Oryzias latipes: one gene and its partners. The protein of the gene in region 2 interacts with the protein of the main gene of each other region in a pairwise test. Links are inferred from orthologs where the notes say so. Each region holds a gene or a part of one and is shown on either strand. Other genes may lie near its edges. The genes, in order: kctd6, ctnnd1 and zbtb33.

Region 1 (4,049 bases), on a different chromosome or scaffold from region 2:
CCTCTTTCCGCAGCAAGTCCGTCTCCGTGAAGTCCACGGGCAGTGTAAGCTCAGATGTCCTCAGGAAGTTCAGGATGTACCTGAAAAGTGTCCCATCTCGATCAATGAAATAATTTCCCTGAGCGTCCCGAGCTGTAGGGAAATCCCCCCGAAACATGGCTCCCAGCATGGAGTCTGGATAACGCTGCAGGGTGGATAGACTGGTGGTATATAAGTGGCCTCCCACATTCAAGGTAACAGGAGTGGTCATCTAGAGAGGATAGCAGAGTTTGTTTTGTTAGCTCACACACTGGAGTGTTGTATAAGCAAACGTTTTATTAGAAATTATTTCCATCTGAGAGGAACTAATGTTTGCTCAACTACTTTTTGGCACACAAACTGAAAGAATAGTTTCATTCAATTGATAATCTTATAAACACTCACAGCTTGGTAAAAAGTACACAGTTTAAGATGCATCTAAAACCATGAACAATGTTGAAATTAACACCAAATGATATCTTTCACAAACTATGCAAGTTTCTGACTTGACTTTCAATAAATGTAAAGTATTGAAAGTCCAGAAAGTCAGCTTCATTTATCATTGTGGTGTTTGTTGTCAGTGTGGAACAACAACCTAGGTTACCCCACCACAAGAACAAATGAAGGTGAATGAGAAACAGCCAAATTAGTATTGATGTAAGGTCTTCTGCAGAGTTGCTTCGGCGTTGCAGCATAAATGGTTATAAGGGGAATATAAGGAATTGGCATTAAATAACTCATTCCTAGCATTTGTTTACTTCCATCGGTATGTCTCTGACCAATATGAATATCTTTAAAATGTGCCACTGCTGCTGAAAATGAAAAAGAACTACACAACTACATATCTGATCAGTTGGTGAGGATGTAAATGTTTAAATCTGATGCCCAACAGAGGAAATGAGAAATCAATACAAAGAGAAGTTCTGTAGAGTTTGCTGAGACTGGTTCTTCTGTGACGCGGTTCTGGTTAAACAAATGAACTGAAAGGCAAAATGATTATGACTTTCAACTATGTCTTACCCTATGGCCCCAGTCTCCATTATCCATTTGTAGAATTTCTACCAGGTTGAAACCAAAGTAGGGAGAGAACTTGATCAGGACAGACTCCCTTTATTTGGACCAGTAAAACAAGCACAAGAAAAATAATTACATTAATACGAGGCACTAAGAAAACTTGTCAGCAGAATGGGAGAGAAGTTTGCATTAAAACTCAAGTAATGCTTTCTGTAGCAATAACTACTTACATAATCAGACAATATTAAAGTTCCACTCCTATCATCTCTTGATCTTTTTTTAAAGCATTCTTAGTGTTTTTTTATTATTATTATTATGCTGCTTTTAGCCTAAATAAAAAAGAAAATTCAAATAAAAACCTGTGTCATTTTGGAAAAGGTTTTTTGAGCCAGATGCCAGCTGAGACGAGGAAAACAAGACGTAAATGGGTCTATGGTCTGCAAGTGGATGCATCAGAATGGAGCGGAGCAGGGAGCTTATGGCCGGCCGATTGTGTTTTCTTTGTCACAAATATGATCTTTTTCAAAATGCGTTTTTTTTCTGCTCCTGATTCCCCAAAATTTGATTAAAGAAATACTCAGAAATGCAATTTTAAGCTTAATTTTCTTTAAATATCCCCTTCATCATCAGAAAGATGCCAAAAGGACATGTTAAAGGTGCATTTTTCATTGGAGTGGGTCTTTAATAATGTCCCAGTGAGCTTGATTTTGCTTAATGTGTTTGTGTGTGTGTGTGTGGGGGGGGGGGGGGGGGGGTGTTAAAGCTTTAAAAACAAAAATAAATATACAAAACCCAAGTAATATTTTACTGCATTAGTTTATTATACGTATTAATAACAACAAATACTGATGTAAAACATGCCAGATTTAGTCTAGGGATCATTAGGCCAGAATGAAAAAAATTGCAAAAGACAAGATAAGCAAGAAACAGGAAAACCATTAACCTAATCCTAATCGGACAAAACTACAGTAAAAAGAAGAGAAGTGTCGTGTTACAGTTAGGATAAAGGTTCCCATATGTTTTGGTCATTTCTAAATAAAATGGATAGAATCCTCCAAAATCAAAGCATTAAATATATGACTAAAGTGACAGAGAGTTAACTATTTGTTTTCTGAAAAACAAAAGCCAATCTTGACTCCTGGTTATTTGGCATTATCGAAGTGACTGTGTAATTGACTGCAGCGCAGGCATAAATAAATGAGAGAAGCCGGCAGAAGAAATAACACAAGCTTTTAGTTAGAGGTAATAGTGTGCTTCTCTGTAAGCTTACATTAAGTACAATTCTGAAGAAAAAAAGTGAAATAAACCGTGAATACTAACGTTGAGACATCAAACATACGTGTAAGTGTGAAAGCTAGCAGCTAGGTTTTTCTTTTAACTAGCATGCTAGCAGCTAGCAATCCAAGAACGTTAGCTGCGGTCTCTACTGAGGTTCATGATGGTTTACAAATCAACCAACCAGGTAGACAATAAAGCAAAGACTCACCAGCTTTAGCGCCTTTTTTTTTCCTTCCTGAATGGCTCCTAAGAAAGACTCCCCCGCTGTTCTCCAGTAACGGTGGATCAAATGACCACTGATAGGATCCTTGCCTGCGGTCTGTCTCACCGGGCAGCTGCACTCTGCTTCAGGCTGCAGCGGAACTGCGCACACTGACGGGGGGAGAAAGCAGGAGGGAGGAGGTCCTGCTGCAGCTACAGCCTCCTCTGCTTCATCCACGCATCCATGGACAGGGCACTTCACAGATTCACAGGCCTACCAAGCATGGGATCAGGAGCGCAAGGATTCCTCCTCCAAGTCCAACCCATGCGCTTTACGCGTCAAAATGACCAAACAAAGCGGGGAAACACCTCAATACATTATGGTGGCACAATAAAGGACTGATGATTTTTCTATGTAAATTTAAACATTGACCAAAAAAATAAAAAACGGCGAATGCCTAAATAAATGAAAATATAAAATAAAATGTAAAATAAAAATGTAGACATGGGCTATTACAGATTCAAAGCAGATATCTTTTGAATTGTCAGCATAAAAGCAGATTGATCAAGTTTTGGTAAACAAAAGACCACACATCATATCTAATCCAACTTTATTAGTCAAATTGGAGACACAAAACAAATAAATCATTTTTCATATTTTTCTCTACTTCTGTGCTTCTTCCTCACATAGGCTACATATTTGATCTGTTCCCTTAATCTTCTATTCAGGACGATTTCTTGGTACCACCTCTGGCATTCTGCTGCAAGATAATGAACTCCAGGATGAGTCTGGCTGTCCGACAAGGCTTCTCCATAACCACGGAGTGACCACAGTTATCCAGCAGGTCTACCCTGCAGCCAGGCAACAGCTCTGCAATAACGCTTGCCCCGGAGACATCCACCACCTGGACCAAAAGGCAATCTCTTTTGGCATTTCATTACAAATAAAGTCAACTGTTGTCTTAAACTGACATTTCTATGTTACATATTGGTACACCTTAATGAATATATAATGAGTAATATATAAATAAATCATCACAACACTCACCTAAATTGAACCAAACAAAGTTATTATTGGAACATGATATTTACCTGATCTTGTTTACCCCAAATCACTTGTAGAGGGGCATTTATGAGATGCAGGTGCTCTTGCAAAGCATATCTTGAGTTCTCACTAACAATCTCCATAAATACTGCAGAAATGAAAAAAAGTTTTTATTTTCATGTTATTTTAGTAAAAAAGTAATAATTATTTTTTTTACAACAAATCCCACCTTCTTCATAAAACGTGTTGTGAGGCAGTCTGACGTCTACCAATCCTTGAAGAATCTAAACAATAAAAAAATAAGGTTAAAGTATCCATTAAATGTAGCAAACATTTTTGTGATTTTATTTCCCCGTAGATTGTCCATTTTTGGTGTCTATAGTACACAAAGGGAAACTTGTGTTACAGGTGTGGACTTGACCTGTTGAGGAATTCTAAAACGAACGTGGGAGCAGAGTCTGAACATGTCCTCCATCTCCTCCGGTGTGGTCGG
Region 2 (4,287 bases):
CAGTTTCTTAAAACAATAAATAGAAAATGGCAGTGTATTTTAAAAGTAACATAATTAGAAAACCCCCACAGTGAAAGACTCCAAAACCCAATGGCAGTTCAAAGGGACGAGTCTTCTGCGGTCAGCAACATCTGACTGAACTCTGACTCGCCACAAGTCACATCACAAGCCCATCTGATTCAGCAGCCATCAGTCAGCATGACTCACTCACTCTGATCATCAGAACAAACCAACAATAAATCCTTTGTAGGCTTAATTAAACTCTGCCTAACAGAGCGACAGACAGAAAAAAACATGTTCGATGTTGGCCAGGTATTCACATATTTCCAGCTAGTTAATAGTGTAGTTTGATGTTAAGATTATTTGATACCAAAGCAGAGTGTTGGTTGTACTGAGGACTTACCCCACTAATTAATTTACCTTCTAACACTTTAAAATAGATTTTAAAAATCCACACCAATGGAAGTGCTGTTTGTGGTGTTTTGAACATGTTCTTGTTGCATTTTTGTCCTGTAGAGGACATATATAAAGAAAATTAAGTGGAAAATTGCACGTACTATTTGTATTTTTTTTATCAAATCGTGATGAATCCGGAGCAGACCAAAAATATGCCATTGAAAAAAACATGCTTATGGGTGTGATGTAGCACCTACAACGGTAAGCAACAAACTCCCTGCTCTGCTCCATTCTGGTGCATCCACTCGTAGACGACTAGATCCATGAATGTCTTCGTTTTCCTCATACAAGCTGCCATCCGTCTCAAAACTGTACGGCTGGATAGCTCCAATATTGATCCCTATTTTTGCTGCACCGGTAATGTTAGGTTGGGTCTGTGAGCTAGCGGCAGACAGTGCAAACAGGTGGATGACAGGAGGTGGGCAATCCTGCCCACAACTCAGAGGTGAATTTCGAATGAACTCCTGCCGATCTGCAGAAACTATGTCATAGAAAATTACACAGGGTTTTTGATTTTAGCTAAAAAAAGCATTAATCATAATTAAAAGACCACTGGGAATGCTTTTACAATAGATCAAAAGATGATTGTGTGGGTCTTTAACAAGGATGCTTTATAAAAAAAAAATAGAAATAAATGGACCTACATCCACTTGTTTGAGTCTATTAAAAAACCTGAAGTGTGTCTATTAAAAAACCTGAAGTGTGTGAAAAAGCAGACCAAATTACAGTGGGTGGTGGGATCATTTGTCAACATCCAAACAATGGCTAGAGAGCACAGATCCTCCAGAACAGCCGACATGTGGTGTTACCAGGATCCCCTCCACCACAAACCTGAACCGGTCACACCTATAGTTCAAACACATCCTCTTTAAACATCCACCAGACGCCACTAAAGCCAAAGGAAGGCCTATCGACGCGAGGAATTATAAGCCTGCGTGTAGTCGGTGTTTACGAAGGAAAACGCCAGTCTGTTAGTTCAGGCTGAAGCTGACAGTTGTCCCCACCCAAGCATTTTCCCAACAAAACAAGTTTACACATGACCCACCCAACAGGTTCCGTCTGACAAAGCCATAATCCCAGACTAGCAGACCACAAATGAGAGACCACCGCGCTGACGGTGGAATTAAATACACAAAAGTATTGAGCCTGGATGTTACGTACATACAACAAACACACACACACACACACACACACACACACACAGGCACCCGCACACTTTTCACAAAACATGTACTTCAAATACTGAAGTAAAGTCGGCTGCGCAAACACCCAAAAATATATTTAAAAAAAGAGAAAAAAAGAAACACTAAATTAGTAGAATAAACGTACTTATCGTACTTAATAATCGTGTACCAGTACATAGAAACGCTCCCAGAGACTAGCTAGCTGCTGCTGGGTGAGGTCATTTTACCAGTCCGTGTATCCCAAACACCGCTTGGAAAATGCTACAACTAGTTAGCATTTCCTTCGTCTAACGGCATCCCACACAGCCTTGTGAATGATTAGTAGGCAGAAGACGGGAATATAGGTCACCAGCCGCGAGGAAAGTTAGCTAGAAAAACAAGTTCAAGCGCACACCAGACATGAACCTTTGATATAAAAGAGCTCATTTCGAACAAAGGCTGTCGCAAGAGAGTTCCTCGGTGGTGGTGCTAACGCAAGAGCTCGGCTAAAATGGATCAAATCAACCCAGTTGGGCTGGAAGCTAGCTCCGTCTGACCTGGTTTGACTGTCCCGAGTCGTTAGCATCACAATAAAACTACCACGAAAACGCTCCCGACAGCGGGGCTAGCGCTAGCAAAGCAAACACAGATGATCAAACAGCAATGAAGGGTTCAAAAACGCGACATTTTCAGGGCAACGTGGACCTTTTTCTCTCGGTATACACGATGGCGTCAAAGGCCTAATAATATTTGGAATGAGCACGGCTGGTGACGAAGGAACAAATCAGGGTCTGAACTTGTGCGCTAGCTTTTATTAGCATAAAAGATTCGTGCTGATCTGTCGGAATACATGACCACTCCTTAGAACTGCAGAGTGTCCCGGCAATCTTCAAAGAAAATCCACGCGCGCGACAAATCATCGGTAAAAATCCAAGAATTGGCTCACCTGGTTGAGGAAATCCTGCACCCGACCTCACTCAGACTACCCAGTTTTAGGTGTTTTCTGCCTCTTCCCGTCTCCTAGCTTAAAGAGGTGAGATATCACCGAGTTTCTATCAAAGGGAGGGTGGGATCAACAAGCAGCTTTACCGTAAAGCACTGCGCTCCCACAAAAAACCAGCAGGTTGGTGGTTACAGACACCACAGAGTTCTGCTTTTTGCGCAGTTTTTATTTTTTGTATAAATAGTTTTAATGGACAAACTGAGCTACACCTCTAGTCTGCCGGGGATTTAAATTATGTCGCAATATCACCTTCCGCGTGTCCCTCCCTTCACGATGTCACGTCTGTGATTGCTCAATAAGAATGGCCAAGGGGCAATAGATAGTCTCACGTGGGTGGGAGTACTTCAGCTTTTTTACATGAATGAATTCCCCCAAAATAAGGTTAATCAGATCCTTCACATTTTCTTAACATTTATATTTCTTACCAAAAATGTAACATACCTTGTTTTGGCAAATTATTTATTGCTCAAGCACTGTTTTTGCTTTTTTTTTTTTTTTAACATGTCAGTCTAGAATTGGCTGTGAAGGTCTTTTTTCATTTTCAAGATTTTGGGGTAAAAATCGAAGAAAAAGAAATGTGAACTTGAAAAACAAGGCATCAGCGTGGACATACAAACATGGAAAGAGGAACAATGCCAGGAATTCCCCCCAGCTTCCGTATGAGCTCCCCCCGAAGTGCTTTTGTAATAGGAAGAAGGCATAAATATAATCAACAATACTGCTCACTTGGAATATATGGTGATTAAAACAATAAAATATTTTGGGCACAAACGGAACCTCATAGTATTTAAACAAATAAATTAGGTTTTTAATTTTTAAAAACTTAGTCATTCAGAAAATATGAATCTATCTTATACGGGAAGCTTTACTTTTATCTAAAGTTTAAAGATTTGCAGCTAAGTTTTGTAGCCTAATGTTTGAATCAGGAATCTGTGTTTTTCAAGCAGTTGTCATTCAGTAGAAGTGTTAATAAACCCATCCCCAGCTGATTTACTTTACCAAAACTCAAAAAGATGAGCAACAACTTACAGTATTTTTGCGTCACAGATTTTTCATCAAGAATGTGCGGCAGCAGTTTACAAATGTGGTGTTGCAAGCTTCACTTTCAACGAACACAGGCGTGTCAGTTAAGTTTTAAAGAAAGTTCAACCCCAAAAATACGTATTTAGAACCAATTCACGATTTTCTTTTAATCTTTAAATCACAATTAAGCTTATAGTTTTAAAGTCTAGTTTGTCAAATCTGACAAAGACCTTTTAAAGACTTAATTGATATCCATAATAGCAAAGAAGCTATGCTGGTTGTGGGATTCTTAACAATGATTCTAAGTAATTGAAATTATAGCTCTAATGTTTTAAAACAGAACAGACTTAAGTCTTTCACTAGGGATTTGCTAAATAAAATCATAAAACAAACAAAAAAAGTTGTTTTTCTTGTCTATTATTTTCATTTTGTACCTTATGTAAGTGGAGAAGTCCAATTATAAAAGAATCTGATTAAAGAAAAGTAGTACAATTAAAAACTTTTTGTCTGCAAGCTTTTGATTTTTCTTCCTAATTAATGTTTTACTTTAGCTTTCATTTGAATTATGCTAACTCAATGAATTTATTATTTTGTTTTTTAAAAAACAGATTTCCAGGAGCTGAGCTTTGTTTTAGAAAAAAA
Region 3 (4,076 bases), about 4.4 Mb from region 2:
ATGCATTTTCTACGTCTAATTTGTCCAAATCAATAACCTCGCTAACTTCACCGCCAGCTGCTCGGGTTTGAGCGTCTGTGCGTGAGACAAACACAACATCACAGTCGGAGTCCTCCTCCTTCCCTGCTTTTTTTTCATTTTGATTGAATTCCTCTGAAGAAATAGAGAAAGACTCTGTGATTACCGGCAGAACCTCATTGCACCCGTCGTTTTTGGCGTCCGTCTCTTTCGACAAACCAGGAATGCCTTTGACTTGGGACAACGGAGAACCCAAATTTGCAATAAACTTCACTCCCAGGACCTGTCCAGCCTGTATGAGCTCTTCCAGCATGTCTGAACGAACACGTACAATCCTGGAACTGTAAATGTAGTTGAGGATCTGCTCAAAGATTTCCGGCCGTATAAAATTCAGCTCAATCACTTGTCCGGCGACACTGAAGAGCTGGTGGAAATAAGTACTAGAGGCGGAAAGGATGGTTTTGTGCGCTCTGAACTTCTTATCCTGTACGATGATGGTGACATCGCAAAACAATCCAATGCTTCTTTGCTCATCCAGGGACTTGAGTATAGCAGCCGAGTACAGAGTGTCGGTCGCAGATATCAGCTTTAGACTTGGCATGTCTGCAAACAGCAAAGTCGGAAAAAAGAAATGACAAAAGATTCAGAAATATTTCGCTTGATTTTTGGTTTCGATGCTCAAACTCTGTATTTTAGCATTTAAATACCATGAAGCAAGACAACATCAACAACAGAAAATGTGTTAAAAGATTTCAAACTTTTAGCAAAAAAAAGTATTTCTTTTATCAATAAAATATTACATTATCATTTGAATATTTCCCTACTACATTAAGCCCTAAATATCAGAATCAGAGGTACTTTATTGATCCCACACGTGGGAAATTTGTGCGTTACAGTGGCATTGTAATCATAAAAGAAAAAAGGATCAAATTAAAAAATAATTGTAAAAAATAAGGAGGTATAATTATATGTCATATTATAAATATGTGAATTTATGTCGATAAACATTCAGCCTCCAATACAGATCAACAGCCTTTTAAGCTAAAGCTTTGGCTCCACCCAAACTGCTTTACTGGGGCAGCAGGGTGGGCCAGTCTCCATCGCCTTTGCGTCACAGTGAGATATGGGCATAAAAAAATCTCATCTTTTTTCATTACAAATCCGATTTTTTATTTTTTATCTCTCTCCTTTTACTTTCTTTAACCAAAACTTGAAATGATGGAATATATTTAATAAAAAGTACTTTATTTGAACATCTCTTTTGGAAATTGGCTCCAACAAAACTAAATACAAGCTGTAAGAATGTTTGCAGATCAATGCAGCTGATGTTTTGTGAGCTACCGCTAGCTTGATCATCTCATAATGAGAAATACTACAACATTTTTGGTAGCAACAGCCTTGAAATGGCATTTGCTGTGCTTGGTTTGATGCTCTAAGTTTGAAGTCACAACCACAGTGACCAAAATCTCATTTCTGACTCACCACACAAGTTGGCTGGTAGATGAAAAAATCTACCAACCAAATGATTCCATTATTTCACCACGAAGAACTCTATGTGTTTAATAAAAAAAAATGATGTTACGTTAAATGCAAACAGAGAGAAAGTCACAACATAATGAAAACATCTGATTAAAACAACTGTTTTTTTTCTAAGGAAATCCTGAATTGATTTCTAATCAGTCTTTGCTCTCTGATTTTGCCGTTTTCACACCGTCTATTAAATGTTTTCTTTTCAATCACAATAAGGGAGTTGTTTCTGTTGTTTCCCCCATGAGAAGAGGGGTTTCAGTCAGTCACCTGTAGTCTGAACCAACTGGAAAGTCAAAAATAAACCTGCTGAGAAAAACAAAAAATAAAGACAGATTTACTAAAGGGGGAGCAGATTGACAGAAAAAAGCACTCTTTTCCTAATTTTGCCTCCAGTGGATTCATTTTTATGTGAAATCATAACAAAAACACCCTAAAAACATGATCATGTTTGGATTCATGCCATTGACCTCTCATGGGGGGGGGGGGGGGGGGGCTTTTGTGCAACTCAACTTAATGTATCGATTTCTGTTCCTACGATCCAACCAGATCAATTTGTTTGAGGCAAATTGTTTAACATATCATGTTCATTCATTCAGTGTTATAAAGGGTCATTACAATGCAAAAAAAGAAAGAAAGAAACCAATCATAAGAAAAGTATGAACTTAATATTTCTATTATAAAGCTGTTCCCAATCAGGTGTAAACATGTATTTACACAGTCAATAAATATATTATTTTAATAACAGAACAGTGATTAAGCATGTTTTTGCATCTATCAAGTTCAACCTCGACAGTTGCGTTCCTTTGATCAGACATATTTCCTTATCTTAGCTTTGCTAAACGTTGGTCTCTAAATGTGATGAGCTTAAAACTCGCGTGACGTGAGACTGTTGTTAATTACAACCACGTTTGCTGGGGGAAAAGAGGTGTTCCTGCTATTTAATGTCAACGCTGTGGTCAGCTGACTTCGTTGTTAGCCGGCTAACAAAGGTAACGCTGTCTCCTTAGCTGGAGGAAGCGCGGCCTGCTCTTTAGCTTCTTTTTAGCATCTCAGTTTATGCAGCAGCTACAATTAAAAAATATTGATAAAACCCACTGAAACATCCTTTCAAAGCATCGCCCAAATGTCATATTTACCTGCAACTTTTCTAATGCCAGGACTAATCCTGACGGGTGCCAACTAGTGAATTGAGGAACTTGACAGGATAAACAGAGGATGTCGTGTCCAACTCTGCTTCCTCTGAGAATTGAGCCCCCCCCCATCCGCCGTCTCACCGGTGGCAGAATCTCGTTTTCTACGGCAAGTGAAGAGGCTCAAAATGCAGCGTTTACCCATACAACGTACTGTAAACACGAAAGGCAACTCAAGCATCGTTCTTCTTCATCGCTATACTATAATGTGGTAGAATATAATAAAAATGATGGAAATATTTAAAATAACTCGTTTGCAAGTGGCCTGTTTAAGCACGTCTGTTCCAAGTCATTTGTAATAAAGTATGTTTTTAGAAACACAAACAATCAAAATGGAGTTGACTTATTGTTATTATACATGTCTTTTTTGTCCTTAACAGCTATTTGGGTATTTAGCTTTAAATGTTAGCATTGACACATAATCTCCTCACATATCATATTCATTTTCTATTTAAAATTTTGAAAATAAAATAGAAATTTAACAATTCTACGAAGACTCGCCATAACTTTAATCGCAGCAGTGTATTAAGATTTTTTGTTAAAGAAACTTTGTTTGCAGTATGATCATTTAAAATATATCCTAAACATGCATTTTCTGTGTTAGCGGAACTATTCTTCGTTGGTGTTGGGAGGACCCGTGATCATTTACTGAACGGACACTTCCATCCTTCGTTGCGTAGGTGAAAAACAACGGTAGAACACAAACCTTTTTGTTTGAATTTTTGTCTTTGGGCGTTTATTTTGTTCAAAACTAAATAGTAGGCCGCCAGAGGCCATGCCTCTTTCGGATCGCTCAAGCTCAGACGGTGGCGGGGAGCCTCGTCGTAGTCCTCGGGCTCGCAGACCCCGGACTCGCTCCCGCAGCCGAAACCGTGGCGACAGCCGCGACAGGAGTCTGTCGCCGTACAGCTTCGGGCCCAAACTCCCCAAACCACGTAACAGAGAGCGTGAACGCGAGGAACGAGAGCATCGATTAAGGGAGGCGAGAAACATCAGAAGGATTCGGATCGGAAGCCCCGGTCGTAGCCGCTCCAGATCCCGGTCCAGGGAGCGTCACACCAACAACCACCACAGCCATGGGTTCGAGCAGCGGGAGCCTCCAGGAAAACACGGCAGCTTCAGAGACGATTACTATTACGAGCAGCAGAGGGATGACATCCAGAGACAAAGACAAGAAGCTTTCATTGCCAGGTAGTGACACATTAAGTTATCAACATTTGGAGCCAAATACTAAACTTCTGTGAATTTTCATCTTTAAAACACCAAAAAACATTTTATGTTGTAATTATTAATGTTAACAGATGTAGGTCAGATCTTAAGCTGTGAAAATTAGTAATT

Evidence for each region.
Region 1: the proteins of ctnnd1 (region 2) and kctd6 interact in binary tests that used the Homo sapiens proteins (3 or more experiments, as listed by UniProt). The two-hybrid records come from large-scale screens. The link is inferred for Oryzias latipes from reciprocal best matches to the Homo sapiens genes CTNND1 and KCTD6.
Region 3: the proteins of ctnnd1 (region 2) and zbtb33 interact in binary tests that used the Homo sapiens proteins (3 or more experiments, as listed by UniProt). The link is inferred for Oryzias latipes from reciprocal best matches to the Homo sapiens genes CTNND1 and ZBTB33.

Annotation. Positions count from the first base shown.
Region 1 is NC_019865.2:16,433,865-16,437,913, reverse strand, and holds the start of kctd6 (BTB/POZ domain-containing protein KCTD6), read right to left. Parts: upstream 2,853-4,049; 5' UTR 2,519-2,852; intron 1,127-2,518; 5' UTR 1,066-1,126; coding exon 1,039-1,065; intron 251-1,038; coding exon 1-250. Other genes in the region: monoacylglycerol lipase ABHD6-like, read right to left, coding at 3,237-3,416, 3,604-3,704, 3,786-3,840, 3,978-4,049. UniProt on the Homo sapiens protein: Probable substrate-specific adapter of a BCR (BTB-CUL3-RBX1) E3 ubiquitin-protein ligase complex mediating the ubiquitination and subsequent proteasomal degradation of target proteins.
Region 2 is NC_019868.2:14,176,454-14,180,740, reverse strand, and holds the start of ctnnd1 (catenin delta-1), read right to left. Parts: upstream 2,853-4,287; 5' UTR 2,709-2,852; exon of another isoform or gene 2,644-2,708; 5' UTR 2,566-2,643; intron 1-2,565. UniProt on the Homo sapiens protein: Key regulator of cell-cell adhesion that associates with and regulates the cell adhesion properties of both C-, E- and N-cadherins, being critical for their surface stability.
Region 3 is NC_019868.2:9,751,380-9,755,455, reverse strand, and holds the start of zbtb33 (transcriptional regulator Kaiso), read right to left. Parts: upstream 2,825-4,076; 5' UTR 2,685-2,824; intron 622-2,684; 5' UTR 620-621; coding exon 1-619. Other genes in the region: nkap (NF-kappa-B-activating protein), read left to right, coding at 3,514-3,929. UniProt on the Homo sapiens protein: Transcriptional regulator with bimodal DNA-binding specificity.